Struthio camelus: one gene and its partner. The protein of the gene in region 1 interacts with the protein of each later gene in a pairwise test. Links are inferred from orthologs where the notes say so. Each region holds a gene or a part of one and is shown on either strand. Other genes may lie near its edges. The genes, in order: ALDOA and ENO3.

Region 1 (15,357 bases):
GCCGGCGCCGGGAAGGGAGGGGACGGGGACCCTGTGGGTGCCCTTGGGGGTCCCCAGGGGCCATGTGGGTGCTGTGGGGTGGGTGTAGGGGCACCGTGGGGCAGGGTGGCACCCACGGGTCACGGTGGCACCCACAGTTTGGGGTAGCACCTATGGGTCATGGTGGCACCCACGAGTTGTGGTGACCCCCATGGGCCACGGTGGCACCCATGGGCCATGGTGACACCCACAGTTTGGGGTGACCCCCATGGGTCACGGTGGCACCCATGAGTCATGGTGGCACCTATGGGTCATGGTGGCACCCACGAGTTGTGGTGACCCCCATGGACCACGGTGGCACCCATGGGCCATGGTGACACCCACAGTTTGGGGTGACCCCCATGGGTCACGGTGGCACCCATGAGTCATGGTGGCACCTATGGGTCATGGTGGCACCCACGAGTTGTGGTGATCCCCATGGGTCACGGTGGCGCCCATGGGCCATGGTGGCACCTATGGGTCATGGTGGCACCCACGAGTTGTGGTGATCCCCATGGGTCACGGTGGCACCCATGGGCCATGGCGATACCCACAGTTTGGGGTGGCACCTATGGGTCACGGTGGCACCCATGGGCCATGGTGGCACCCACAGTTCGAGGTGACATCCATGCGTCATGGTGGCACCCATGGCTTGTGGTGGCATCCATGGGCCACGGTGGCACCCGTTGGTCATGATGCCACCCACGGGGCATGGTGGCACCCACAGGCTATGGTGACACCCACGGGTTGTGGTGGCACCTATGAGTCACAGTGGCACCTATGGGCCATGGTGACACCCACGGGTCGTGGTGGCACCCATGGGTCATGATGGCACCCACGGGTGCCCAGGCCAGGCCGTACTCACTGGTCATCGATGACATGGTGGCAGGAGCTGGAGATGATGTATCCGGCCGTGGTGGCCATGATGGCCTGCACCGAGGACACCAGCCTGGGGGGGGGGGGGACACGGGGACGTCAAGGGACATCGAGGGACGGGGACGTTGGGGACATGAGGGGACGGGGCCCTGAGCGGGTGGCAGCCACCCCTGCGGCCACCCCCCGCTGCCACTTGTCCCCAGCCCTGTCCCCAAGCTGCTGCCATCCCTGTCCCCACGGTCCTCGCGGTGTCCCCGTCCCCACGTTGTCTCCACAATGTCCCCGGCTGTCTCCATGTTGTCCCCATGCCATCCCTGTCCCTGTCCCCTCGCTGTCCCCATTCCCCCGTGTCCCCATCCCTGTCACTGTCCCCTCATTGTCCTTGTTCCCTCATTGTCCCCGTCCCCACAGTGTCCCCAGCCCTGTCCCCGTCCCCTCATTGTCCCCACACCGTCCCCCTCCCCAGTGTCCCCATCCCGGTCGCTGTCCCGTCACCGTCCCCACGACGTCCCCGTCCCCATAGTGTCCCCAACCCCTCATTGTCCCCATCCCCATCCCCTCATTGTCCTCTCGTTGTCTCCGTCCCCACGGTGCCCCTGTCCCTGTCCCCTTGTTGTCCCCACGCTGTCCCCGTCCCCTTGTTGTTTCTGTCCCCTCCTTGTCCCCTTGTTGTCCCCATGCCGTGTGTGTCCCTGTCCCCGTCCCCTCAGTGTCCCCTTGTTGTCCCCGTCCCCTCACTGTCCCCCCAGTGTCCTCTCCTTGTCCCCATCCCCTCCCCATCCCACTGTTGTCCCTGTCCCCTCAGTGTCCCTGCCCTCAGTGTCCCCCCACCCCCTCAGTGTCCCCTGTGTCCCCTCCCCATCTCCTCAGTGTCCCCACACCGTCCCCGTCTCCTCAGTGTCCCCTCAGTGTCCCCACCCTCTCCCCCTGCCCTCATTGTCCCCCCTGTCCCCTCAGTGTCCCCACACTGTCCCCATCCCCTCAGTCTCCCCTCACTGTCCCCATCCCCTCCCCGCCCTCCCCGTCCCCTCAGTGTCCCCTCAATGTCCTCACATTGTCCCCATCACCCTGTTGCCCCCTCAGTGTCCCCTCAGTGTCCGCCCGTGTCCCCATCCCTCCACCCCCCCGTTGTCCCCTCAGTGTCCCCACACTGTCCTCATCTCCCATCCCCTCCCCGTCCCCCCAGTGTCCCCATCCCTTCCCCCATCCCCACCCCGTCCCCTCAGGGTCCCCACACCGTCCCTGTCCCCTCAGTGTCCTCTCAGTGTCCCCATCCCCCTGTTGTCCCCTCAGCGTCCCCCCCATGCCCTCAGTGTCCCCACACTGTCCCCGTCCCCCCTCCCCTCCCCGCAGTGTCCCCTCAGTGTCCCCCTCCCCCGTCCCATCAGTGTCCCCTCAGTGTCCCCTCAGTGTCCCCTCAGTGTCCCCATCCCCTCCCCCATCCCCACACTGTTCCCATCCCCCCCCAGTGTCCCCACACTGTCCCCGTCCCCTCAGTGTCCCAATCGCCCCCTCAGTGTCCCAATCGCCCCGTTGTCCCCTCAGTGTCCCCATCCCCCCTCAGTGTCCCCTCAGTGTCCCCATCCCCTCCCCCATCCCCACACTGTCCCCATCCCCCCCCAGTGTCCCCACACTGTCCTCGTCCCCTCAGTGACCCAATCGCCCCGTTGTCCCCTCAGTGTCCCCCTCCCCCGTCCCCTCAGTGTCCCCTCAGTGTCCCCTCAGTCCCCCCATCCCCTCCCCCGTCCCCTCAGTCCCCCCCTCCCCCCGTTGTCCCCTCAGTGTCCCCATCCCCTCCCCCCTCCCCTCAGTGTCCCCTCAGTGTCCCCATCCCCTCCCCCCCTCAGTGTCCCCTCAGTGTCCCCCTCCCCCCTCCCCTCAGTGTCCCCTCAGTGTCCCCCATCCCCTCCCCCCTCCCCTCAGTGTCCCCTCAGTGTCCCCATCCCCTCCCCCGTCCCCTCAGTGTCCCCCCATCCCCTCAGTGTCCCCCTCCCCCATCCCCTCAGTGTCCCCTCAGTGTCCCCATCCCCTCCCCCCCTCAGTGTCCCCTCAGTGTCCCCATCCCCTCCCCCGTCCCCTCAGTGTCCCCTCAGTGTCCCCCTCCCCCTCCCCCCATCCCCTCAGTGTCCCCTCAGTGTCCCCCTCCCCCTCCCCCCATCCCCTCAGTGTCCCCTCAGTGTCCCCCTCCCCCCTCCCCTCAGTGTCCCCTCAGTGTCCCCTCAGTGTCCCCCTCCCCCATCCCCTCAGTGTCCCCCTCCCCCCCTCCCCTCAGTGCCCCCCCGTCCCCTCCTCGCCCCCCCCCCACCCCGGTACCGGGCGGCGACGATGACGGCGTCGGGCTCGGGCCAGCGCAGCCCCGGCAGCCGCCGCAGCCCGGCCCGGGCCGCCAGGAAGAGCCCGGGGAAGAAGACGAAGCCGCCGGCCAGCAGGGCACCCGGGGGGGCCGCCATGAGCGGGGGGGGGCGGGGGGCGGGGGGGGGCACAGGGACCTGCCCGGCCCGGCCCGGCCCGCCGGCCCCGCCGGGAGCGACGCTGGGGGCGGGGCCTGAGGGGGGCGGGGCAACAGAGGGGGCGGGGTCTGAGGGGGGCACAGGGACCTGCCCGGCCCGCCGGCCCCGCCGGGAGCGACGCTGGGGGCGGGGCCTGAGGGGGGCGGGGCTTGAGGGGGCGGGGTCTGAGGGGGGGCACAGGGACCTGCCCGGCCCGGCCCGGCCCGCCGGCCCCGCCGGGAGCGACGCTGGGGGCGGGGCCTGAGGGGGGCGGGGCTTGAGGGGGCGGGGTCTGAGGGGGGCACAGGGACCTGCCCGGCCCGGCCCGGCCCGCCGGCCCCGCCGGGAGCGACGCTGGGGGCGGGGCCTGAGGGGGGCGGGGTCTGAGGGGGCGGGGTCTGAGGAGGGGCACAGGGACCTGCCCGGCCCGCCGGCCCCGCCGGGAGCGATGGTGGGGGCGGGGCCTGAGGGGGGCGGGGCCTGAGGGGGGCGGGGTCTGAGGGGGGTGGGGTCTGAGGGGGGCACAGGGACCTGCCCGGCTCGGCCCGGCCCGCCGGCCCCGCCGGGAGCGACGCTGGGGGCGGGGCCTGAGGGGGGCGGGGTCTGAAGGGGGCGGGGTCTGAGGGGGGGCACAGGGACCTGCCCGGCCCGCCGGCCCCGCCGGGAGCGACGCTGGGGGCGGGGCCTGAGGGGGGCGGGGTCTGAGGGGGCGGGGTCTGAGGGGGGCACAGGGACCTGCCCGGCCCGCCGGCCCCGCCGGGAGCGACGCTGGGGGCGGGGCCTGAGGGGGGCGGGGCCTGAGGGGGCGGGGCCTGAGGGGGGGGGCACAGGGACCTGCCCGGCCCGCCGGCCCCGCCGGGAGCGATGGTGGGGGCGGGGCCTGAGGGGGGTGGGGCCTGAGGGGGGGGCACAGGGACCTGCCCGGCCCGCCGACCCCGCCGGGAGCGATGCTGGGGGCGGGGCCTGAGGGGGGCGGGGCCTGAGGGGGGGCACAGGGACCTGCCCGGCCCGGCCCGGCCCGCCGGGAGCGACGCTGGGGGCGGGGCCTGAGGGGGGCGGGGTCTGAAGGGGGCGGGGTCTGAAGGGGGGCACAGGGACCTGCCCGGCCCGGCTCCGCCCTGCCGGAAGCAATGCTGGGGGGGGTCTGAATGGGGGCGGGGCCTGAGGGGGGCGGAGTCACAGGGGGATGCAGGGACCTGCCTGGCCCTGCCGGGAGTGATGCTGGCGGCGGGGCCATGGGGCGGGGTCACAGGGGGTGGGGCCTAAGGGGGCGGGGGGCTACCTGGCCCGGCCCGGCCCTGCCTTGGGGGTGACCCTGGGGGCGGGGCCTAAAGGGGGCGGGGCCTAAAGGGGGCGGGGCGTGAGGGCAGCCCAGGGAGGGGGCACCATTCTGGTGGGGGGGGGGAGCTAGCCCCACTGGGAGGGATGTGGGGGTGGGGCTACGGTGGGAGGAGCGAAGTGGGGGCGGGCCTTGGGGGAAAGTGTTGAGGGGCGGGGCCTCCAGGGGGAGGGATGTGGGGCGGGGCTAAAGGGAAAGGAGGGGGGGTGCCCTGCTTCCCACTCCCCCCTTCCAAAATGGCAAGGAGAAGGGACCCGGGCGTCCTGCCACTCCCCCCCAACAGCGTTCCCAGGCCCCGCCCCCGCCCCTCCCCACGGGAAACCCTCATTTGCATATATTTGCATATCACTTGTAGGCCCCTCCCCACTGGGAGGGGGCAGGTTGGGGGGAGGAGCTGAGCCAGACCCTCTGCGTGCATGCAGCCAGCACGCCATCGCACCTAGACGTATTTGCACATATTTGCATAAATTTGCAAACATTTGCATACATTTGTGTACATTTGCCTACATTTGTGCGCGCCCCTCCCCCTCGAGGGCGCCGCGCGTTGTCCGAGCAACGGCCGCCGCCGAGCCGGGTGGCGCTCGGCGCATGCGCCGCCCGCCACCCGCCAGCGCCCCTCCCTATTGGCCGCGGCCGGCAGCCAATGGGAGGCGGCGGGACGCGGCGCGTTGCCAGGCAGAGTCTCGGCGCGCCGCGCTGAAAGGGCGGCTCCGATTGGCGCCGGGGCCAGCGCCTGAGGCGAAGGCGCCACCGCGCCGCGCGCCTCGCTGATTGGCCCCGCCGGGAGTGTCCCCACTCTGTGGGCAACGCCCCTCTCCACCCCCGGCCAATAGGAAGGCGCGAGGCGGCGTTTCCATGGCACCCGCACCGCCTCCCGCTTCCGGGTGGCTACCTCAGCACCGCCTCGCTGGAGCGCGCGCCGGGTGGGGGGGGGGAGGTGTTGCCGCAGCAACCGCGCATGCGCGTCAGAGGGTCATTAGTATTCATGAAGGGCACCGCGACTACATGAATATTTATGAGGAAGGCGGGGCCTTGCTGAGTGGCGGGGTGGGCGGGGCTCCCGGACAGGGTGATTTGCATACAACAGCCCTTCATGCGGAAGGGTGGGTGCAGGGCTCATGAATATTGATGAGGACATGTCATAAATTATTAATGAGGGAGATGCAGCTCTTCTCCCACGTGACTGTGGGAAATAGCCCCTCCCATTGCCATGGAAACTGAGGCCTATTCGGTTGCCATGGAGACTGTCAGCCCAGGGGGGGGAGGAGCTGTCCTGTCGCCATGGAGATTGTCAGTCAGCTCGGGGGGGGGGTTCTACCCTGTCACCATGGCGACTGTTACAGTGGTTGGGGGGGTGTCCTACTGCCATCACCATGGAAACCACAACCTTCCTGGTTGCCATGGAAACTGTCAGTCTGCTGGGGGGGCACTACCCTGTCGCCGTGGCGACTGTCACAGTGGTCTGAGGCCTACCCCCGTTGCCATGGAAACCGGGACCTACCCCCCCCCACCATCGCCACACACATTGGGGAGGGCTCCCCCCACCTACCTGGTTGCCATGGCAACCACCACCGTGCACCTACCCCCCCCAGGTCGCCACGGCGACCGCCTCCCCCCCCCCTCAAAACCAGGCCCTCGCGGCCTGGCCCGTTTCCACGGTTACCCGGAGCCTGCCGGCAGTTTGGGGGGGGCCAGGCCCCTCCCCGGCGCCCAGGCCAGGGGCCGGCGGGGGCGGGGGGGGCTATTTTTAGCCCCCGAAAAGGCCAGGGGTCGGCGGAAAGGTCGCCGGGGGGGGGGGAGGCCCTAGATAAGGGGCGGCGCTGGGGGGCCGGGGGGCAGCGGGACCCGGCGCTGCCCCACGGTGAGTCGGGGGGTCCCTGCGGCCCCCTGGGGTGGGGGGGATACCCCCCCGTGCCCTAAATAACCCCCCTGACACCCCAAATACCCCCCTGACACCCCCCTGGGCAGCTCTATAACCCCCCCCAGCACCCTAAATACCCCCCCGGCACCCCCATATCCCCCTCAACACCCCAAATACCCCCCTGACACCCCAAATACCCCCCTGACACCCCCCTGGGCAGCTCTATACCCCCCCAGCACCCTAAATACCCCCCCTGGCACCCCCATATCCCCCTCAACACCCCAAATACCCCCCTGGCACCCCAAATGCCCCCCTGGCACCCCCCCCGGCAGCCCTATACCCCCCCTGGCACCCCAAATGCCCCCCCGGCACCTCTCTCAGCACCCCCAAATACCCCCCCCGACACCCCCCTGGGCAGTCCTATACCCCCCTGGCACCCCAAATACCCCCCTGACACCCCCCCCGGCACCCCAAATACCCTCCAGGGCTCCCCCAAATGCCCACCCAGGATCACATATACCCCCCTAGACCCCCCGCAAATACTCCGTGGGACCCCCTAAATACCCACCCAGGACCCTATATGTCCTCCTAGACCCCCCAAATACTCCCTCAGCACCCCAAATACCCTCCCTGACCCCCCCAAATATCCCCTGAGACCCCCAAATTCCCCTCTGGAATGCCAACTACCACCCAGGACCCCATATACTCCCCTAGACCCCCTCAAATAACCCCCTGTGACCCCCCAAATACCCACCCAGGACCCCAAATACTCACCCAGGACCCCATACGCTCCTGTAGACCCCCCCCAAATAACCCCCAGGACCCCCCCAAATACCCACCCAGGACCCCAAATATCCCCAAATAACCCCCCTAGACCCCCCAAATTCCCCCCCAGGACCCCAAATACACCCCTAGACCCCCCCCAAATAACCCCAGGACCCCCAAATCCCCCCCAGGACCCCAAATACCCATCCAGGACCCCAAATACCCCCTTAGACCCCCCCAAATAACCCCCAGGACCCCCCAAATACCCACCGAGGACCCCAAATGCCCCCCAGACCTCCCAAATAACCCCTGGGACCCCCAAATACCCACCCAGGACCCCCTATTACCCCCAGACTCCCCCCAAATAACCCCCGAGACCCCCAAATCCCCCCCAGGACCCCAAATACCCACCTAGGACCCCCCTAAACCCCCAAATAACCCCTGGGGCCCCCAAATCCCCCCCAGGACCCCAAATACCCACCTAGGACCCCCCTTAAACCCCCCCAAATAACCCCTGGGACCCCCAAATCCCCCCCAGGACCCCAAATACCCACCTAGGACCCCCCTAAACCCCCAAATAACCCCCGGGACCCCCCCCAATTCCCCCCCGGGACCCCAATCCCCCCCGTCCCCCCCCCCCGCGCGGTGACTCAGCGCTCGGCGGCGCGGCCCCTTTAAGCGCCCCCCTCGCCCCTCCCGCCGCTTCCTCTGACGTCACAGCCCCCCCCCCGCACCGCACGCGCGCGCCGCAGCCTCGGCGCGAGACCAGGTGGGGCCCGGGGGGGGGGGCGGCAGGTTTTGGGGCGAAAAAGTCGGGTTTTGGGGCCAAACGTGTGGAGATTGGGGGAGGGGGTGGGTTTTGGGGCCAAACGTGTGGAGATTGGGGGCTGGGGGCGGGTTTTGGGGCTAAACGTGTGGAGATTGGGGGCTGGGGGGTGGATTTTGGGGCTAAACGTGTGGAGATTGGGGGCTGGGGGCGGGTTTTGGGGCTAAAAGTGTGGAGATTGGGGGAGGTGGGTGGGTTTTGGGGCAGAAAATGTAGATTTTGGGCTTGGGGGAAGACTTGAGGGCAGATTTGGGGGCTGGGGGCAGATTTGGGGCTGAAAAGGTAGCTTTAGGGGGCTGGGGGGCAAATAGGGGACTGTGGGGGCAGATTTTGGGGCTGGAAAGAGATTTTGGGGTGGAGGAGCAGATTTTTGGGGTGGGGGAGCAGATTTTGGGGCTGTGGGGGCACATTTTGGGATGAAGGAGCAGATTTTTGGGGCTGTGGGGGTAGATTTTGGGGTGCAGGAGCAGATTTTTGGGGCTAGCATGGCAGATTTTGGGGTGGGGGGGCAGATTTAGGGGGGGAAGAGCAGGTTTTGGGGCTGGAAAGGCAGATTTTGGGGCTGTGGGGAGCAGATTGAGGGAGGCCCCGCTCTGCCTCATGCAGGGGGAGGAGGAAGGGGGGCCCTGCCCGGACGCCTGGGCCCTTCCTGCTGCCCTTGAGACGCCCTTGGGGCTCCGTCCCGGACGCCTGGGTCCCTCCCCTCCCCCCAAATTCCCCCCCCCCAACCCGGATGCCTGGGACACCTTGGTCCCTTCCCCCCCCCCAATTCCCCCCCCCCAACTCGGACGCCTGGGTCCCGCCCCTGACTGCACCCAGAGCCCTACCCGGACGCCTGGGTCCCCTCCCCGCCCGCGGTGACTTCCCCAACCCGGACGCCTGGGTCCCATTTCCCCTTCGCAGCCGCTGCCGCCCGGACGCCTGGGTCCGTCTACCCCCCCCCCCCCAAATCCGGGCGCCTGGGTCCCTCTTCCCCCCCCCCCAAACCCGGACACCTGGGTCCCTCTTCCCCCCCCCCCCAAACCCGGACGCCTGGGTCCCTCTTCCCCCCCCCCCCCAAACCCGGACGCCTGGGTCCCTCTTCCCCCCCCCCCCAACCCCAGACGCCTGGGTCCCTCTTCCCCCCCCCCCCCCAAACCCGGACGCCTGGGTCCCTCTTCCCCCCCCCCCCCAACCCCGGACGCCTGGGTCCCTCTCCCCCCCCCCCAAACCCGGACGCCTGGGTCCCTCTCCCCGCCCCCCCCAAACCCGGACGCCTGGGTCCCTCTCCCCTTCCCCCCCAAATCCGGGCGCCTGGGTCCGTCTACCCCCCCCCCCCCCAAATCCGGGCGCCTGGGTCCCTCTTCCCCCCCCCCCAAACCCGGACGCCTGGGTCCCTCTTCCCCCCCCCCCAAACCCGGACGCCTGGGTCGCTCTTCCCCCCCCCCCCCCCAAACCCGGACGCCTGGGTCCCTCTTCCCCCCCCCCCCCAAACCCGGACGCCTGGGTCCCTCTTCCCCCCCCCCCCCAAACCCGGACGCCTGGGTCCCTCTTCCCCCCCCCCCCCCAAACCCGGACGCCTGGGTCCCTCTTCCCCCCCAACCCCAGACGCCTGGGTCCCTCTTCCCCCCCCCCCCAACCCCGGACGCCTGGGTCCCTCTTCCCCCCCCCCCCAACCCCGGACGCCTGGGTCCCTCTTCCCCCCCCCCCAACCCCAGACGCCTGGGTCCCTCTTTCCCCCCCCCCCCAACCCCAGACGCCTGGGTCCCTCTTTCCCCCCCCCCCCAACCCGGACGCCTGGGTCCCTCTTTCCCCCCCCCCCCAAACCCAGACGCCTGGGTCCCTCTTCCCCCCCCCCCCCCCAAACCCGGACGCCTGGGTCCCTCTCCCCTTCCCCCCCCAACCCGGACGCCTGGGTCCCTCTCCCCTTCCCCCCCCAACCCGGACGCCTGGGTCCCTCTCCCCTTCCCCCCCCAACCCGGACGCCTGGGTCCCTCTCCCCCCCCCCCCCAACCCGGACGCCTGGGTCCCTCTCCCCCCCCCCCCCCAACCCGGACGCCTGGGTCCCTCTCCCCCCCCCCCCAACCCGGACGCCTGGGTCCCTCTCCCCGCCCCCCCAAACCCGGACGCCTGGGTCCCTCTCCCCTTCCCCCCCAACCTGGACGCCTGGGTCCCTCTCCCCTTCCCCCCCCCCAAACCCAGACGCCTGGGTCCCTCTTCCCCCCCCCCCCAAACCCGGACGCCTGGGTCCCTCTTCCCCCCCCCCCCCAAACCCGGACGCCTGGGTCCCTCTTCCCCCCCCCCCCCAAACCCGGACGCCTGGGTCCCTCTTCCCCCCCCCCCCCCAAACCCGGACGCCTGGGTCCCTCTTCCCCCCCCCCCCCCAAACCCGGACGCCTGGGTCCCTCTCCCCTTCCCCCCCCCAAACCCGGACGCCTGGGTCCCTCTCCCCTTCCCCCCCAAACCCGGACGCCTGGGTCCCTCTCCCCTTCCCCCCCAACCCGGACGCCTGGGTCCCTCTCCCCTTCCCCCCCCAACCCGGACGCCTGGGTCCCTCTCCCCTTCCCCCCCCAACCCGGACGCCTGGGTCCCTCTCCCCTTCCCCCCCAACCCGGACGCCTGGGTCCCTCTCCCCTTCCCCCCCCAACCCGGACGCCTGGGTCCCTCTCCCCGCCCCCCCCCAAACCCGGACGCCTGGGTCCCTCTCCCCGCCCCCCCCCAAACCCGGACGCCTGGGTCCCTCTCCCCTTCCCCCCCAACCCGGACGCCTGGGTCCCTCTCCCCTTCCCCCCCCAACCCGGACGCCTGGGTCCCTCTCCCCTTCCCCCCCCAACCCGGACGCCTGGGTCCCTCTCCCCTTCCCCCCCAACCCGGACGCCTGGGTCCCTCTCCCCGCCCCCCCCCAAACCCGGACGCCTGGGTCCCTCTCCCCGCCCCCCCCCAAACCCGGACGCCTGGGTCCCTCTCCCCGCCCCCCCCCAAACCCGGACGCCTGGGTCCCTCTCCCCGCCCCCCCCCAAACCCGGACGCCTGGGTCCCTCTCCCCTTCCCCCCCCAAACCCGGACGCCTGGGTCCCTCTCCCCTTCCCCCCCCAAACCCGGACGCCTGGGTCCCTCTCCCCTTCCCCCCCCAAACCCGGACGCCTGGGTCCCTCTCCCCTTCCCCCCCCAAACCCGGACGCCTGGGTCCCTCTCCCCCCCCCCAAACCCGGACGCCTGGGTCCCTCTCCCCTTCCCCCCCCAACCCGGACGCCTGGGTCCCTCTTCCCTTCCCCCCCCTAACCCGGACGCCTGGGTCCCTTTAACCCCTCCCCGGACCCCATGGGCAGGGGAGTGTGGGGCGTTTCCCCGGACGCCTGGGCCCGTGGGGTGATGCGGGGTGTGATTCCCCGGACGCCTGGGCCCCGTGCCCGGACGCCGGGGTCCCCGCTGAGCCCCCCCCCCCTTTCCCCGCAGCCGCCGCCACCATGCCGCACCAGTACCCGGCGCTGACGCCCGAGCAGAAGAAGGAGCTCGCCGACATCGCCCTGCGCATCGTCGCCCCCGGCAAGGGCATCCTCGCCGCCGATGAGTCCACCGGTGCGGCGCTGGGAGCACTGGGAGGGGAGCGGGGGGCACTGGGAGGGGATTGGGGGGCACCAGGTGGCGCTGGGAGGCACTGGGAGGGGACTGGGGGGTTCCCAGGTGGCACTGGGGGGCACTAGGGTGAGATCAGGGGCACTGGGGAGCACTGGGAGAAGATTGGGGGGCACTAGGTGGTGCTGGGAGGGGACTGGGAGGTGCTGGGAGGGGACTGGGGGCTCTCAGGTGGCACTGGGGGGCACTAGGGTGAGATCAGGGGCACTAGGGAGCACTGGGAGAAGATTAGGGGGCACTAGGTGGTGCTGGGAGGGGACTGGGAGGCACTGGGAGGGGACTGGGGGCTCTCAGGTGGCACTGGGGGGCACTAGGGTGAGATCAGGGGCACTGGGGAGCACTGGGAAAAGAGCAGGGAGGCTGTGGGAGTGAATTGAGGGGCACTGGGTGACACTGGAAAGGGATTGGGGGGCACTAGGTGACACTGGGAGAGGAGTTGGGGCATTGGGAGGGGATCGGGAGGCAGTGGGTGACACTGGGGGAGGGACTGGGAGCACTGGGAGGAGATCGGGGCACTGGGAGGGATCGGGAGGCAGTGGGTGATGCTGGGAGGGAATGGGGTGACATTAGGTGATACTGGGGAGGACTGGGAGGTCTTGGGAGGGGATTGGGGGCACTGGGTGGGACTGGAAGTTGCTGGTGGAAGACTAGGAGGTTACTGGGGAGAACTACAAAAGCATTAGGAGGCACTGGGTGACGCTGGGAGGGCACTGGGTGACCCCAGGTGAGACCAGGAGGAGCCCAGGTGGCCCCAGGTGAGTCTGGGAGCACTGGGAGCCCCACAACCCCTGGCATCCCTGGTGCAACGGGAGCGTGGGTGCCACCAGGGTGCCCATGGGTGACCGCAGGTGACGCTGGGTGACCCCAGGGTGCCACTGGGGGTTACAGGGTGACCCCAGGTGAGACTGGGAGGCCCTGGGAGCACTGGGAGCCCCACAACCCCTGGCAACCCTGGTGCAACGGGAGCGTGGGTGCCACCAGGGTGCCCATGGGTGACTGCAGGTGACGCTGGGTGACCCCAGGGTGCCACTGGGGGTTACAGGGTGGCCCCAGGTGAAATCAGGAGGCCCTGGGAGCCCCACAACCCCTGGCAACCCTGGTGCAACAGGAGCGTGGGTGCCACCAGGGTGCCCATGGGTGACTACAGGCGACAGTGGGAGAGCCCAGGTGCCACTGGGGGTTTCTAGGTGGCCGCAGGTGGCCACCAGGTGGCCCCAGGTGAGACCGGGAGGCCCTGAGAGCGCTGGGAGCCCCACAACCCCTGGCAACCCTGGTGCAACGGGAGCGTGGGTGCCACCAGGGTGCCCATGGGTGACTGCAGGTGACGCTGGGTGACCCCAGGGTGCCACTGGGGGTTACAGGGTGGCCCCAGGTGAAATCAGGAGGCCCTGGGAGCCCCACAACCCCTGGCAACCCTGGTGCAACAGGAGCGTGGGTGCCACCAGGGTGCCCATGGGTGACTGCAGGCGACAGTGGGAGAGCCCAGGTGCCACTGGGGGTTTCTAGGTGGCCGCAGGTGGCCACCAGATGGCCCCAGGTGAGACCGGGAGGCCCTGAGAGCGCTGGGAGCCCCACAACCCCTGGCAACCCTGGTGCAACGGGAGCGTGGGTGCCACCAGGGTGCCCATGGGTGACTGCAGGTGACGCTGGGTGACCCCAGGGTGCTACTGGGGGTTTCTAGGTGGCCCCAGGTGGCCACCAGGTGGCCCCAGGTGAGACCGGGAGGCCTTGGGAGCACCGGGAGCCCCGCAAAGCCCAGCCGCCTGGGGTGGCGTGGGTGCCGCGGGCGGCCCCGGCGGGTGACGCGGGCGGCCCCGGCGCAGGCAGCATCGCCAAGCGGCTGAGCTCGGTGGGGGCGGAGAACACGGAGGAGAACCGCCGCTGGTACCGCCAGCTGCTCTTCACGGCCGACCAGCGCGTCGACCCCTGCATCGGCGGCGTCATCCTCTTCCACGAGACCCTCTACCAGAAGGCCGACGACGGGCGCCCCTTCCCCGCCGTCATCCGCGCCAAGGGCGGCCTCGTCGGCATCAAGGTGGGGACGTCGGGGGGAGGCGGAGGCGTTGGGGAGATGGGGGGAAGTTGAGGGAACGTTGAGGGACGGTGGTGGACACAGAGATGTTGAGGGGATGCAGGGACGTTGGGGAGGCGTGGAGATGTTGAGGGAACGTTGGGGCACGGTGGTGGGCGCAGAGAGGTTGAGGGGACGCAGGGGCGTTGGGGAGGCGTGGAGATGTTGAGGGAACGTTGGGGCACGGTGGTGGGCGCAGAGACGTTGAGGGGACGCAGGGACGTTGGGGAGATGTGGAGATGTTGAGGGAACGTTGGGGCACGGTGGTGGACGCAGAGAGGTTGAGGGGACGCAGGGACGTTGGGGAGATGTGGAGCCGTTGAGGGAACGTTGGGGGACGGTGGTGGACGCAGAGATGTTGAGGGGACATTGGGGAGGCGTGGAGACGTTGAGGGAACGTTGGGGCACGGTGGTGGGCACAGAAGTTGAGGGGACGCATGGACATTGGGGAGGTGTGGAGATGTTGAGGGAGCGTTGGGGGACGGTGGTGGACACACAGGTGTTGAGGGGACGCAGGGACGTTGGGGAGACACGGAGCCGTTGAGGGAACGTTGGGGGACGGTGGTGGATGCAGAGATGTTGAGGGGACGCAGGGATATTAGGGAGGCGTGGAGATGTTGAAGGAACGTTAGGGGACAGTGGTGGACACGGAGAGGTTGAGGGGGACGTAAGGACGTTGGGGAGACGTGGAGCCGTTGGGGGACGGTGGTGGACGCAGAGATGTTGAGGGAACATTGGGGAGGCGTGGAGACGTTGAGGGAACGTTGGGGCATGGTGGTGGGCACAGAGAGGTTGAGGGGACGCAGGGACGTTGGGGAGGCGTGGAGATGTTGAGGGAGCGTTGGCGGACGTTGGTGGACACAGAGGTTGAGGGGACGCAGGGACGTTGGGGGGACGTGGAGCCGTTGAGGGAGCGTTGGGGGACGGTGATGTTGATGGGATGCAAGGACGTTGGGGAGATGCGGAGACGTCGAGGGGACGTTGGGGGACATGGAGGTGACAGGATGTGCGGATGTTGGACACGGGGACACAAAGGGGACGCAAGGACGTCGGGGAGATGCAGAGCCGATTAGAGGACGTTGGGGGACACGGAGACGTGGATGCGACGTGGAGACGTTGGGGGGGGGACGTGGAGGGGACACTGGGGGACGTAGAGATGTGGAGGGGACGTGGGGATGTTGGGAGACAAGGAGACGTTGAGGGGACGTCGGGGGACGTGGAGACATGAAGGGGACGTAGGGACGATGGGGCACAAGGGGACATTGGGGACGTTGAGGGACACGGGGATGGTGGGGGAACGTAGTCTCAGAGTGGGGACATCGAGGGGACGTTGGGGGAGACAGGGACGTTGGGGGGATGTGGGGGACGTGGGGACGGGGTGGCCATGGAGCCAGGCCAGCTCCCAGTGACCGTGTCCCCGCGTCCCCCCCCCCCCCAGGTGGACAAGGGGGTTGTGCCCCTGGCTGGCACCAATGGCGAGACCACCACCCAGGGTGA
Region 2 (14,570 bases), on another chromosome or scaffold:
CCCCGGCCGCCTGGGCCCTCACCCCAACAGAGGGGTCACAGCGAGGCCAGGCCACGGGAAGGGTGACGGGGGGGGGGCCTGGGTGCTGTCCCGGACGCCTGGGTTCACGGGAGGCAGGGGGGCCCGGACTCCTGGGCCCGCGGGTGACGCGGCTCCGCAGGGGACGAGTACGAGGTCTGCGCCATCTGCCTGGACGAGTACGAGGAGGGCGACCGGCTGCGGGTGCTGCCCTGCGCCCACGGTGAGCGCCGGGGCGGGGCAGGGGGACGCCTGGGTCCCTCCCGGACACCTGGGCCCCCTGACCGCCCCCGCCCCCGCAGCCTTCCACAGCCGCTGCGTGGACCCCTGGCTGACGCGCACCCGCCGCACCTGCCCCGTGTGCAAGCAGCGGGTGCCGCCGGGCACCGAGGAGCCGGCGCCCCAGGGCGACACGGGCGCCTCCGAGCGCACCCCGCTGCTGCCCCCCGCCCCCGTCTGACGCGGACGCCGGGGCCCCCCAATAAAGGCTCGTGGCCAACCCGGCTCCGGCTCCTCTCGGGGATCGGGGGGAGGCACCGCACCCCGGACGCCCCCGGCACCCGAGCGGGGCTCCAGCATCGCTCGAACCTGCCGCCCGAACTCGCCCCCGGCTCCAGCACCCAAGGGGGGTCCGGGACGCCCCAGCTGAGCCGGTCCCCAGCACCCCAGACCCCTCCAGCACCCAAAGGGGCTCCAGCACCTTGAACCACCTCTGGGACCCCCCTGTCCTGCCCCAGCAGCCCAAGGGGCTCCGGGACCCCAAACCCAGGGCTCGAGCTGGTCCCTGGGCCCCAGACCAGCTCCAGCACCCAGAGGACCCTCCAGGACCCCCCACCCAGCTCCACCAGCCCAGCCCAGCTCCAGCACCCAGAGGACCCTCCAGGACCCCCCAATCTGGCTCCAGCACCCAAAGGTGCTCTGGACCCCCCAGCTCTCCCCAACGCACCCAAGGGTGCCCCGTCCCCCCCTCCCATCCCCCGTGACGCTGGCTCCAGCCTGGCCGGACTTTGCCCCGGGCAGGCCCAGGCGTCCCCGTCCCCCCCCCCCAGCGGCGCGGGCCCCGGTGTCCGGGCGCAGCAGCAGCAGGCGGGTGCCGCGGGTGCCGCAGCCTTTATTGGGTCAGTACTGGGAGCGCCGCAGGTGCGCCGCCATCTCGTAGCACTTCTTGTTGACGCAGCCGCCGTGGACGCCCTCCTTGCCCATCACCAGCACGATCGCTGCGGGGGGGGGGGGGGTCAGCAGGGCCCAGGCGTCCGGGAAACCCCTCCATGGGGGGGCCCGGCCCACCGGGAACCCTCCCACATCCCCCCCCCCGCAAGGGGGCCCAGGCGTCCGGGTGCAGCTGCTCCGCGAGGGGAACAGCTGCCCCTTCTCACAACAGCTGGGGGGGCAGAGGGGCCCAGGCATCCGGGGGGGATGGGGAAGCGACCCAGGGACCCAGGCATCCGGGGACAGAGCAACAGGGAGCTGGGAGGGGGGAGGGGATGGGAAAGGGACCCAGGCGTCCAGGAGGAGCGAGCAGAGGGGAGGGGATCCAGCACCCAGCAGGGAGGATGGAGGGACCCAGGCGTCCGGGGCAGGTGCGGGGGTGACCCAGGGGCAGCACAGAGGGGCCCAAGCGTTCGGGCATGGTGTGGAGCAGATGCGGAGGTAACGTGGGGTTGGCGTGAGGGGCCCAGGTGCCCGGGGCGGGTGCAGAGCGCACACGGGGGCGGCGTGAGGGGCCCAGGTGTCCAGGGTGGGCGCAGAGCGGACACGGGGGCGGCGCGAGGGGCCCAGGTGCCCGGGGCGGGTGCAGAGCGGACACGGGGTTGGCGTGAGGGGCCCAGGTGTCCAGGGTGGGCGCAGAGCGCACACAGGGGGGACGTGGGGGTGGCACGAGGGGCCCAGGTGCCCGGGGCGGGCGCAGAGCGCACACAGGGGGGACGTGGGGGTGACACGAGGGGCCCAGGTGCCCGGGGCGGGCGCAGAGCGCACACGGGGGGGACGCGAGGGGCCCGGGCGGACACTCACTCTTGTTGGTGACGGTGGCGGTGATGTTGAAGGTGGGGGCGCCGGCGGCGCTCTTGGTGCGCAGGTCCATGCTGTGCTCGCCCTCCACCAGCAGCGAGTCGCGGATGACGGAGCACTTCTGCCCGCCCAGCGTCAGCCCGTTCACCAGCAGGCTGCTCCGGTCCTTCCCCACCAGCGCGTTCACCTCCGCCGCCTGCCGGGCCACGACCCCCGCCGTCAGGGACCCAGGTGTCCGGGCGGGGGGGCGTGGCCCGCCCTGACACCCCCCCGGGGACCCAGGCGTCCGGGGCAGCACCGTGAGCCGCCCTGACACCCCCCCGGGGACCCAGGCGTCCGGGGCAGCACCGTGAGCCCGCCCTGACACCCCTCTGGGGACCCAGGCGTCCGGGGCAGCACCATGAGCCCGCCCTGACACCCCCCCGGGGACCCAGGCGTCCGGGGCAGCACCGTGAGCCGCCCTGACACCCCTCCTTGGGACCCAGGCGTCCGGGGCAGCACCATGAGCCTGCCCTGACACCCCTCCTCGGGACCCAGGCGTCCGGGGCAGCACCGTGAGCCACCCTGACACCCCTCCTCGGGACCCAGGCGTCCGGGGCAGCACCGTGAGCCGCCCTGACACCCCCCCGGGGACCCAGGCGTCCGGGGCAGCACCGTGAGCCACCCTGACACCCCTCCTCAGGACCCAGGCGTCCGGGGCAGCACCGTGAGCCCGCCCTGACACCCCTCCTCGGGACCCAGGCGTCCGGGGCAGCACCGTGAGCCGCCCTGACACCCCCCCGGGGACCCAGGCGTCCGGGGCAGCACCGTGAGCCCGCCCTGACACCCCTCCTCGGGACCCAGGCGTCCGGGGCAGCACCGTGAGCCTGCCCTGACACCCCTCTGGGGACCCAGGCGTCCGGGGCAGCACCATGAGCCCGCCCTGACACCCCTCCTCGGGACCCAGGTGTCCGGGGCAGCACCGTGAGCCCGCCCTGACACCCCCCCGGGGACCCAGGCGTCCGGGGCAGCACCGTGAGCCACCCTGACACCCCTCCTCGGGACCCAGGCGTCCGGGGCAGCACCGTGAGCCCGCCCTGACACCCCTCCTCGGGACCCAGGCGTCCGGGGCAGCACCGTGAGCCGCCCTGACACCCCCCCGGGGACCCAGGCGTCCGGGGCAGCACCGTGAGCCCGCCCTGACACCCCTCCTCGGGACCCAGGCGTCCGGGGCAGCACCGTGAGCCGCCCTGACACCCCTCCTCGGGACCCAGGCGTCCGGGGCAGCACCGTGAGCCGCCCTGACACCCCCCCGGGGACCCAGGCGTCCGGGGCGCCCAAGAGCCCAGACCAGCACCAGCTCCTCCAGGGACCCAGGCGTCCGGGCGCCCGCCCCGGCACCCTCCACAGGCAGGACCCAGGCGTCCGGGGCATCCCCAGCCGCGCCGGCCCAGGCGTCCCGGACCCCACCCAACGCCCTGCCGGGGGCCCAGGCGTCCGGGAGCTCCCTCAGCCTCCGCCAGGGGCCCAGGCGCCCGGGCACCCCTCTGCCCGCCGCCCCGGGGGGCCCAGGCGCCCCCTCCCCTCCCCCACAGGAAGCCCCGGCCGCCCCTCCCCCGCCGGGGGGAAGTTGCCACATTCCGCGCATTTTTCTCAGCGGGGGGAGGGGGGAGACACCGGCGACCCCTCGGCGGGCGGGCAGAGGGCCCAGGCGTCCGGGCCCCCCCGCAGCCCCTCCGCCACGTGCTCGCCGCAGCCCGGACGCCGGGGCTCCTTCCCCAAACCGGGGGTGGCTGGGGAAGGGGAGGGGGTAAAGGGCGCCCGGGCCCCCCGCTGGAGCGGGGAAGGGGGGCGGCCCGGGCGCCTGGGCCCCCCCGCGCGGCCCGGCCGCCTGGGTCCCCTCCCCGGCGGCGGGGGGGGCCGGGCCACGCTGGCAGCGGCCGGGGCCGCTCCCGGACGCATTTTTCTCCCTTTTTTGTCCCGATTGGGGCCGGGGGGGGGAAGGGGATGGGATGGGGGGGATGGGCAGGATCCGGCCCCCCCTCCCCCCGGTCACTTCCTGCCGGCGGGGGGAGGGGCCGGGCCCGACCCCCGGCCCGGGGGGGCCGCGGCGCGGGCGGGCGGGGGGGGGGGCCGGACGCCTGGGCCGGCGGGGGGGCCCGGGGACACCCCGCGCCCCGGGACCGCCGCGGAATCGCCCCCAACGGCCGCCGCCCCCCCGCGGCGCCGCCGCCCGGGCCCCACCGTGATGTTGGCGAAGGTCTTGCCGGGGGTGGCGGCCCAGACGGCCGGCGTGTCCTTGTAGCCGACGATGGCGGCGTCCTGGCAGGTGCCGTCCGCCATGAGGCTCTCCACGTAGGGCGCCCACCCGCTCATGGCGGCGGCGGCGGCGGCGGCGGCGCGGGCCGGGCGGGCGGGGCGGGGCCGGCGGGGGCGGGGCCGGCGGCGGCGGCGGCGGCGCGTGCGCGGAGCGGGCGGCGGGCGCGAGACGGGGCCCCGCGGCGGGGCCGCGCGCCGCCTTTCATAGCCCCGCGCGGCGGGGGCGGGGCTTCCGCGGGGCGGGGCTCGCCCGCAGGGGGCGGGGCTCGCCCGCAGGGGGCGGGGCCGCCGCGGGACACGCCCCCCCCAGCCCGCCCGGCGGCGGCGGCGGCGGCGGCGGCAGAGCGACCCCGGGCAGCGGCGGGCGCTGGGCGACAGGCGCTGCCCCCCCCCCAGCACTGCCCCCCCCGGGCACTGCAACCCCCCCGGCACTGCAAACCCCCCCCCCCCCGCACTGCAACCCCCCCCGGGGCACTGCACTCCCCCCCCCCCCGGGCACTGCACTCCCCCCCCCCCCGGCGCTGCCCCCCCCCCCCCGGGCACTGCACACCCCCCCCCCCCAGCACTGCACCCACCCCCCCAGCACTGCAACCCCCCCCCCCGGGCACTGCACCCCCCCCCCCCCGGGCACTGCACAAGGGGCGCTGTATGACGGGTGCTGCACCTCAGACACTGCCCCCCCCCGACACTGCACCCCCCCCCCGGCACTGCATAATGGGCACTGCACCGCAGGCACTGCACAGCGGGTGCTGCACCCCCCCCCCGGGCACTGCACACCCAGCACTGCACCTGCTAGCGCTGCCCCCCCCAGCATTGCATCCATGTGCACTGCACACGCACAGCCCGGGTGTTGCATCCACCTGTGTTGCATCCCCGGGGCACCGTGCACGTGCACACACGTGTGCAGACACTGCGCACACACACACACACACGCACACACACACACGCACACACACACACGCGCACACACACGCGCACACACACACGCGCACACACACACGCGCACACACGCACACGCACACACAAGCGCACACGCACGCACAGATGTGCACCCCCCACCCCCCCCCGGGGATTGCACATGCAAACCAGTCAGTGCATCCCCGTGCACTGCATCCCTCCGGCGTCGCACACGCAACATCTGGGCACTGCAGCTCCCTCCCGCCCCCCCGCCCCCCTCGAGCGTTGCACGCACACGTGCGCACGCCCCCCCCCCCCCCAGCAGCCCCTCCGGGTGCGGCACCCTTGTGCTGTGTGCACCCGCGGGTGCATCGCACCCCCCGGCCTTGCAGCCGGGTGCGTTGCACCCTCCTCGTGCCGTGCAACCCGCGGGCATCACCGCGCCTTGCACGCCCCTGCACGTCGCCCCCCCCCTTGCACCCCTCCCCGGCCTCCGCACCCCCCTTTGCACGGCCCCTCCCTGCGGGTGACACCCCACGTTTCCTGCCGCCACGGCCCCCCCGGCGTCGCCCTCGGTGGCGCGTTGCACCTCTTCGCGGCCCCCTCCCCAGCTCCCTGCGCCGGGACCCCCGTGTCCGTGTCACACGCAGCCCCCCGGACATGCGTGTCCTCGTGCCAGCATGGAGCAACGCACAGGCCGTGCGGCGCCTCGGCCCCTGTGCGACACCCCCCCGGTGCAATGCAGCCCCCCGTGTGGTGCAGCCCCAGTGCAATGCAACCCCTGGTGCAACGCACCCAACTCCCGGTGCAACGCACCCCTCGTGCACTGCAACCCCTGGTGCAACGCACCCAACTCCCGGTGCAACGCACCCCTCGTGCACTGCAACCCCTGGTGCAATGCACCCAACTCCCGGTGCAACACACCCCTCGTGCACTGCAACCCCTGGTGCAACGCACCCAACTCCCGGTGCAACGCACCCCTCGTGCAATGCAACCCCTGGTGCAACGCACCCAACTCCCGGTGCAACGCACCCCTCGTGCAGTGCAACCCCTGGTGCAACGCACCCAACTCCCGGTGCAACGCACCCCTCGTGCAGTGCAACCCCTGGTGCAACGCACCCAACTCCCGGTGCAACGCACCCCTCGTGCACTGCAACCCCTGGTGCAACGCACCCAACTCCCGGTGCAACGCACCCCTCGTGCACTGCAACCCCTGGTGCAACGCACCCAATTCCCGGTGCAACGCACCCCTCGTGCACTGCAACCCCTGGTGCAACGCACCCAACTCCCGGTGCAACACACCCCTCGTGCAATGCAACCCCTGGTGCAACGCACCCAATTCCCGGTGCAACGCACCCCTCGTGCACTGCAACCCCTGGTGCAACACACCCAACTCCCGGTGCAACGCACCCCTCGTGCAATGCAACCCCTGGTGCAACGCACCCAACTCCCGGTGCAACGCACCCCTCGTGCAATGCAACCCCTGGTGCAACGCACCCAACTCCCGGTGCAACGCACCCCTCGTGCACTGCAACCCCTGGTGCAACGCACCCAACTCCCGGTGCAACGCACCCCTCGTGCACTGCAACCCCTGGTGCAACCCACCCCTCGCGCCATGAGCCCCCCAGCACAGCGCAACCCCAGAGCAAACCAACTCCTGGTGCAACGCCCCCCCCCGTGCGATGCCCCCCCGCCGCGCTCCCCGCCCCGTGCACACGCGTGTGCGATCGCACATGCATCGGCCCATATCTCCCGGCTGCTTTGAGTCAGCCCCGGGCGGGGACTTTCCGGGGGGGGGAGGGGGGGAGGGGCGGCGGTTTCACTTCCTGTCCCGGGCGGGGGAGGGGGCCGAGGCGCCGGCGCTGGGGGCAGGCGGCGTCCGGGGGACCCAGGCGTCCGGGCAGCGGGCCCTGGACCCCGCGCCTGCCTGGGGACCCAGGCGTCCGGGGGACCAGGGGGTCGGAGGCAGCCGGGCGCCTGCCCCTCCCCCCCGCTGCGAACTTCCCCCAGCAGTGTCGCCACCGCGGCCCCTCCCCCGCTCACGCCAACCCGGGGCATCATGGGAAATGGGGGGGGGGCAGGAAACCAGCTCGTCCTGGCCGAGGGACCCAGGCGTCCGGGGGCCCCTCTGCCCCCCCCCGGGGCCCAGACATCCGGGGCCCCCCCCGGGGCCCAGGCGTCCGGGGGCCCAGGCGTCCAGGGGCCCTGCCCCCCCCGGGGCCCAGGCGTCCGGGCCCGCCCCGCCCCCGCCCCGCTGTGGGAACTTCCCCGGGAAGTGGGTTTTTAGCAGCGAGCGGAGCCGGGGCCCCTCCCCCTCCCCCTGCCCTATGGGCTCCATAGGGCCCGACCCCCCCCCAACGTCCCCTATAGGCCCCACGGGGCCCATCTCCCCCCTCCCGTTTCCCCTATAGGGCCCCGGCCCCTATAGACCCCGCAGGGCCCCTCCCCTCCCCCCATCCCCTATGGATCCCATAGGACCGGTGCCATTCCCAGCACAGCCGCCAGGCGTCCCCCTCCCCCCCCCAGGGACCCAGGCGTCCGGGGGCTCCCCCCCCCCCCATCCTCCAGGGACCCAGGCGTCCGGGTGCTCCCCCCCCCCCATCCTCCAGGGACCCAGGTGTCCGGGCGCCCCCGTGCGGTGGGGCCCAGGAGTCGCCCAGGGACCCAGGCGTCCGGGCAGCCTCAACTCCAGGGGACCCAGGCGTCCGGGTACCCCCAGTCCCGGGGGGACCCAGGTGTCCGGGTGCCCCCAGCCCAAGGGGGACCCAGGCATCCGGGTGCTCCCCCCCCCACATCCTCCAGGGACCCAGGCGTCCGGGCAGCCTCGGGGGGACCCAGGCATCTGGCTGCTCCCAGCCCACGGGGGCCCAGGCGTCCGGGCGTCTCGAGTTACCGTGTCCTTTCCTCGAGCTCCGACCTTTGGGGGGGGCTAAAAATAGCCCGGGGGGGGCAGGGACCATCGCAAAGTGCCACCAGGGCCACCAGCGCCCGGACGCCTGGGCCCCCTGGGGGCTGCGAAGCCTGGTGGGGGAGGGGGGCAGCTGGGCCCCCCCGGACACCTGAACCCCCTGGGGGGGGCAGCGGGGCAGAGCGGGGGTCCCCGGACGCCTGGGCCCCCGGGGGGGCAGTCAGGCCTGGCGGGTGGGGCAGGGGCGAGCCCACCCGGACGCCTGGGCCCTGGACGCCTGGGTCCCGCGTTTGCAGATGGTCCCTGGGGGAGGCGGGGGCAGGGGATGGGCATAAAAGGCCCTCGGGGACCCCCCGGGGTCACTCGGAGCCCAACCAGCACCAGTGAGCAGCAGCGCCCGGACGCCTGGGTCCCTGTGGGGTGCCCGGACGCCTGGGACCCCCCGGATGCCTGGGACCCCTGGGGGTAGCGGGGTCTATAGTGCAGAGCGGGGCCACCCGGACGCCTGGGCCCCCCCCGGACGCCTGGGTGCCCTGAGGGCAGTGGGGTCTATAGTGCAGAGCGGGGCCACCCGGACGCCTGGGCCCCCCCCGGACGCCTGGGTGCCCTGAGGGCAGTGGGGTCTATAGTGCAGAGCGGGGCCACCCGGACACCTGGGCCCCCGGTGGGGGGGAGAAGGGCAGGGAAAGCTGGCGCTCGGACGCCTGGGCCCCCTGGTGTGGCGGGGGGCGGCGTGGCTGCGGGGGGCGCCCGGACGCCTGGGTCCCCCTGGCCCTGACGCCTGCCCCCACCCCCCCCCAGCAGCCATGTCCATCCAGAAGATCCACGCGCGGGAGATCCTCGACTCCCGCGGGAACCCCACGGTGGAGGTCGACCTGCACACGGCCAAGGGTGGGCGCCGGGGCCGGGGGGACACGGGCAGAGGTGGGGGACATGGGGGACATGGGGGGACGGGGGGGTGGGACGCAGGTAGCTGGTGGGACATGGGGGGACATAGGAGGTCCTGGGGGGACATGGGGGAATGTGGGAGGGCCTGGGGGCATGTGGGGGGGACATAGGGGGCCCATGGGGGGTTGTGGCCCCCCCCGGCTCACTCCAGCCCCCCAGGCCACTTCCGCGCTGCCGTCCCCAGCGGCGCCTCCACGGGGATCCACGAGGCCCTGGAGCTCCGCGATGGCGACAAGAGCCGCTACCTGGGCAAAGGTGAGACCCCACAGGGCCCCCCAAGACCCAGCAACCCCCCCAAGACCCAACCGAGACCCCCAAAACCCAACGATCCCCCCCAAGACCCAGCCGGGTCCTCCAAGACCCAAATGAGTCCCCCAAAGCCCGACAAACTCCTCAAAACCCAGCCGGATCCCTCAAAACCCAACTGGGTCCCCCAAGACCCAACTAGATCCCCCAAGACCCCACTGAGCCTCCCAAGACCTAACGATCCCCCCCAAGACCCCTCTGGGTGCCCCAAAACCCAACGACCTCCCCAAGACCCAACTGGATCCCTCAAAACCCAGCTGGATCCCCCCAAGACCCAATGACCTCCAAAGACCCCCTGAATCCCTGCCCTCCCTGCTCCCCTCTGCCCCCCATCTCCCTCTCCATTTGCCCCCATGGGTGGGGTGACGAGGACCCCAGGGTGGGGGCTCGCACCCCCTAACCCCCGCCGTGCCCCCAGGTGTGCTGAAGGCAGTGGAGCACATCAACAAGACCATCGGACCCGCCTTGGTGGAGAAGGTCAGTGTGGCCTGAGTGGGGGTCAGGGTGGGGGCCAGGGTGGGGAGTCCAGATCCCCCCCACCCCCTGGCTCACACTGTCCCCCCCCTTTCCCACCCCAGAAAATCAGCGTGGTGGAGCAGGAGAAGATCGACAAGCTCATGATCGAGCTGGACGGCACCGAGAACAAATGTGAGCCCAGGTCCCCTGTCCTGTCCCGGACGCCTGGGCCCCCTCCCCGCTCACCCCCCCCCTTCCCCTTCTTTGGCAGCCAAGTTTGGGGCCAACGCCATCCTGGGGGTGTCGCTGGCCGTCTGCAAGGCCGGGGCGGCCGAGAAGGGCGTCCCGCTCTACCGGCACATCGCCGACCTGGCCGGCAACGCTGACCTCATCCTGCCTGTGCCGGTGAGGGCCCCGGATGCCTGGGTCCTTCTGCGGTGGGGGGCGGTAGTGGGGAGGCTTTGGGAGGATCCCTGGGTGTTGGGATCTCCATTGAGACCTTGGGGGGGGGGGTCATTGGGTTTTGGAGGACCCAGTTGGGTCTTGGGGGATTTATTGGGTCTTGGAGGGTCTGACGGGTCTTGGGGACATCGTTGGGTCTTGGAGGAGCTGTTGGGTCTTGGGGGGGGGATCGGGGTTGGGTTTTGGAGGACTCGGTTGGGTCTTTTGGGGGGGGATCTTCATGGAGGGAGGAGAAGAGCTTCCTGGACACCTGGGACCCTCGGCGCAGGCCTTCAACGTGATCAACGGCGGCTCGCACGCGGGGAACAAGCTGGCCATGCAGGAGTTCATGATCCTGCCGGTGGGGGCGGCGTCCTTCCGGGAGGCCATGCGCATCGGCGCCGAGGTCTACCACAGCCTCAAGGGTGTCATCAAGGGCAAGTACGGCAAGGACGCCACCAACGTGGGCGACGAGGGCGGCTTCGCCCCCAACATCCTGGAGAACAACGAAGGTACCGGCCCCGGACACCTGGGCCCCTCCTGGTCCTCCCCTGCCACCCGGCCCCGGACACCTGGGTCCTCTCCGGGTCGGGAGACGGTGGAGCTACTTATAGCCCCCCGGGTTGGGTTTCCAGCCCCCTCGTTAAATGTTGCGGCCATAATTAGCCCCTGCGGCCGTAACTGGAGAAAGGCTACGAGGGCGCCAGGGGGGTCAGCAAAGGGCAGGAGGCCCCGGCCGCCTGGGTCCTCCCGGGTGGGGAGGGGCACCCGGACGCCTGGGCCCGCCCGGCCAGGGGAGCCCACGAGCCGGGGTGCCGACGGGCGGGGGAGGCCCGGGGTGCCCGGACGCCTGGGTCCTTCGGGGAAGGGTTGGGGGGGGGTCGGCCGCCCGGCCGCCTGGGTCCCTGGTGCACGGCGGGGTCCCGGCCGGGGCGCGCGGGGGCTGGCGAGCACCGGGCAGCGGTGGCTGACGCCCGCCCGCAGCGCTGGAGCTGCTGAAGGCGGCCATCGCGCAGGCCGGGTACCCGGACAAGGTGGTGATCGGCATGGACGTGGCGGCCTCCGAGTTCTGCCGCGACGGCCGCTACGACCTCGACTTCAAGTCGCCGCCCGACCCCGGGCGCCTCATCTCCGGGGAGCAGCTGGGGCAGCTCTACCAGAGCTTCATCAAGGACTACCCCGGTGCGGGCGACCGCGGGCCGGGGGAACTGGCACGGGAAGGGAAACGGTGGCTTCTCGGGTGTCTCGTACGGGGTTGTGCCTGGGGTTGCGGGGCGGGGTGGCCTCTCCCCCAGGGCTGGGGAGGGTCTGGAGGGACTGAGGGGACGGGGGGGACTGGGGAAGATTGGGAGGAATGGGGGGAACAGGGCTAGGAAGGGAAACGGTGGCTTCTCGGGTGTCTCGTACGGGGTTGTGCCTGGGGCGGGTAGGGGGAAGCGGACTCCCACTGAGGGCTGGGAGCACTGGGATGGACAGGAGGGGCCTGGGGGCGCTGGGACGGGAAGGGAGGTGGTGGATTCTCTGGTGTCTCGCGTAGGGCTGCGCGGGGCTCAGGGAAGGGGAGGGCTGGGGGCGCTGGGGGCCGGCGGCAGCGGCAGCTGAGCGGGGCCCCGCAGTGGTGTCCATCGAGGACCCCTTCGACCAGGACGACTGGGAGGGCTGGCAGCGCTTCCTGGCCCAGGTGAACATCCAGGTGGTGGGCGACGACCTGACGGTGACCAACCCCAAGCGCATCCAGCGGGCGGCCGAGCTGCACGCCTGCAACTGCCTCCTGCTCAAGGTCAACCAGATCGGCTCCGTCACCGAGTCCATCCAGGCGTGAGTGGACGCGCCCCGCGTTGCACGGTCCTTGTGCGAGCCCTCGTGCGACCCCCCGCCGTGCGACCCCTTGTGCACGGCCCTCGGGCAGGCTCCCGCGCGAGCCCTCATGTGACCCGTGCACGACACCTCGTGCGAGCCCTGGTGCGAGCCCCGTGAGTCCCTCGCGCATCCCCTCGTGCAAACCCTCGTGCGAGCCCTGGTGCGACCCCCGTGAGTCCCTCGCGCATCCCCTCGTGCAAACCCTCGTGCGAGCCCTGGTGCGACCCCCGTGAGTCCCTCGCGCATCCCCTCGTGCGAGCCCTGGTGCGACCCCCGTGAGTCCCTCGCGCATCCCCTCGTGCAAACCCTCGTGCGAGCCCTGGTGCGACCCCCGTGAGTCCCTCGCGCATCCCCTCGTGCGAGCCCTGGTGCGACCCCCGTGAGTCCCTCGCGCATCCCCTCGTGCAAACCCTCGTGCGAGCCCTGGTGCGACCCCCGTGAGTCCCTCGCGCATCCCCTCGTGCAAACCCTCGTGCAAGCCCTGGTGCGACCCCCATGAGTCCCTCGCGCATCCCCTCGTGCAAACCCTGGTGCGAGCCCCTCGTGCGCGGCAGGTGCAAGCTGGCGCAGAGCCACGGCTGGGGCGTCATGGTGAGCCACCGCTCGGGCGAGACCGAGGACACCTTCATCGCCGACCTGGTCGTGGGGCTCTGCACCGGGCAGGTCAGCGCTGCTCCCCCTCGTGTCCCCCCAGCCCGTCCCCGTCCCCCCGTGTCCCCGTCCCTCCCCACGTCCCCCCGGGGTCTCCCCATCCCCGTGTCCCCATCACCCCCATCCCCCCTCATGTCCCCCTATCCCCATGGTCCCCACCCCCCTCGTGTCCCTTGTCCCCATCCCCATGTCCCCCCATGTCCCTCCATGTCCCCCCATGTCCCCCCATGTCCCCTCATATCCCCCATGTCTCCCCATGTCCCCCATGTCCCCCATGTCCCCCCATGTCCCCCCATGTCCCCTCATGTCCCTCCATGTCCCCCCATGTCCCCTCATGTCCCCCCATGTCCCCCCAGGTCCCCTCATATCCCCCATGTCCCTCTATGTCCCCATGTCCCCCCATATCCTCCAAGTCCCCCGTCTCCCCATGTCCATGTCCCCTCATGTCCCCCCATGTCCCCTCATGTCCCCCATGTCTCCCCATATCCTCCATGTCCCTCATGTCCCCCCATGTCCCCCCATGTCCCCCCATGTCCCCTCATGTCCCCCATGTCCCCCCATATCCTCCAAGTCCCCCGTCTCCCCATGTCCATGTCCCCTCATGTCCCCCATGTCCCCCGTGTCTCCCCACATCCCCATGTCCCCTCATGTCCCCCATGTCCCCTCATGTCCCCCATGTCTCCCCACATCCCCATGTCCCCCATGTCCCCCCATGTCCCTCCATGTCTCCCCATATCCTCCATGTCCCATGTCCCCCGTCCCCCCAGATGCTCCCTGTCCCCACGGTCCCTGTCCCCCCCATGTCCCCTCCTCCCTGTCCCTGTGTCCCCCGGATGCTCCTTGTCCTCATGGTCCCCATCCCATGTCCCCGTCCCCGTCCCCCCCGTGTCCCCATGTCCCCCCAGATCAAGACGGGCGCCCCGTGCCGCTCCGAGCGCCTGGCCAAGTACAACCAGCTCATGAGGTGGGTGCCCGCAGCCCCCGCGTGTCCCCTTGTGTCCCCAGCGGTGTCCTGTCTCCTTCCCCCCGTGCCCCACGTGTCCCCCAGACCAGTCCCCACCCCTGTCCTCCCGTGTCCCCCTTGGGCACCGTCCCCCTCCCCACGTCCCTTCTGGGAACGTCCCCGTCCCCCAGGTCCGTCCTCGTCCCCCCAGGTCCGTCCTCGTCCCCACGTCACCCCACTAGAGCTGTCCTTGTCCCCATCTCACCCCGGGACCATCTCCATCCCCTGGGACCGTCCCCATCCCCTCGTCACCCCAGGAATGTCCCCGTCCCCCAGGTCCATCCTCGTCCCATCACCCCACCAGGACCGTCCTTGTCCCCACGTCACCCCCAAAACCATCTCTGTCCCCCACTGGGGCCATCCCCATCCCCACGTCCCCTCTGGCACCATCTCCATCCCCCTGGGACCATCCTTGTCCCCATGTCACCCCGCTGGGACTGTCACCGTCCCCGTCCGCCGCTCATTGCTGTCCCCAGGATCGAGGAGGCGCTGGGTGACAAGGCCACCTTCGCCGGGCGCAAGTTCAGGAATCCCCGAGCCAAGTAGGAGGGGGGTGACCGGGGCCACCGCGTCCCCCCCCGGCGCCACCGCGTCCCCCCAGGACCGAGGTCGGAGCCGCCGCGTCCCCCCGGAGCAGGAGCCGCCGCGTCCCCCCCGGCACGGCCACGACGTCCCCCCGACGTCCCCAAACCCGCTCAATAAATGACCTGGAGCACGACGGGCCCCGACTCGTTATTGGGGGCGGGGGACACGGCCAGGACTCCTGGGCCCCCT

What was found.
Region 2: the proteins of ALDOA (region 1) and ENO3 interact in a two-hybrid assay, tested with the Homo sapiens proteins (2 studies listed by BioGRID and IntAct, with this or other methods). The link is inferred for Struthio camelus from reciprocal best matches to the Homo sapiens genes ALDOA and ENO3.

What each region holds. Positions count from the first base shown.
Region 1 is NC_090973.1:971,256-986,612, forward strand, and holds the start of ALDOA (fructose-bisphosphate aldolase A), read left to right. Parts: upstream 1-8,083; 5' UTR 8,084-8,117; intron 8,118-8,725; exon of another isoform or gene 8,726-9,099; intron 9,100-11,609; 5' UTR 11,610-11,620; coding exon 11,621-11,732; intron 11,733-13,612; coding exon 13,613-13,824; intron 13,825-15,298; coding exon 15,299-15,353; intron 15,354-15,357. Other genes in the region: TLCD3B (ceramide synthase), read right to left, coding at 884-942. UniProt on the Homo sapiens protein: Catalyzes the reversible conversion of beta-D-fructose 1,6-bisphosphate (FBP) into two triose phosphate and plays a key role in glycolysis and gluconeogenesis. In addition, may also function as scaffolding protein.
Region 2 is NW_027182728.1:85,467-100,036, reverse strand, and holds ENO3 (beta-enolase), read left to right. Parts: upstream 1-8,413; 5' UTR 8,414-8,456; coding exon 8,457-8,514; exon of another isoform or gene 8,515-8,577; coding exon of another isoform or gene 8,578-8,596; intron 8,597-8,932; coding exon 8,933-9,022; intron 9,023-9,238; coding exon 9,239-9,334; intron 9,335-9,803; coding exon 9,804-9,862; intron 9,863-9,963; coding exon 9,964-10,033; intron 10,034-10,112; coding exon 10,113-10,246; intron 10,247-10,571; coding exon 10,572-10,794; intron 10,795-11,266; coding exon 11,267-11,464; intron 11,465-11,898; coding exon 11,899-12,100; intron 12,101-12,696; coding exon 12,697-12,805; intron 12,806-13,698; coding exon 13,699-13,757; intron 13,758-14,272; coding exon 14,273-14,342; 3' UTR 14,343-14,513; downstream 14,514-14,570. Other genes in the region: E3 ubiquitin-protein ligase RNF167, read left to right, coding at 161-241, 321-478; PFN1 (profilin-1), read right to left, coding at 1,138-1,235, 2,032-2,224, 4,252-4,383. UniProt on the Homo sapiens protein: Glycolytic enzyme that catalyzes the conversion of 2-phosphoglycerate to phosphoenolpyruvate. Appears to have a function in striated muscle development and regeneration.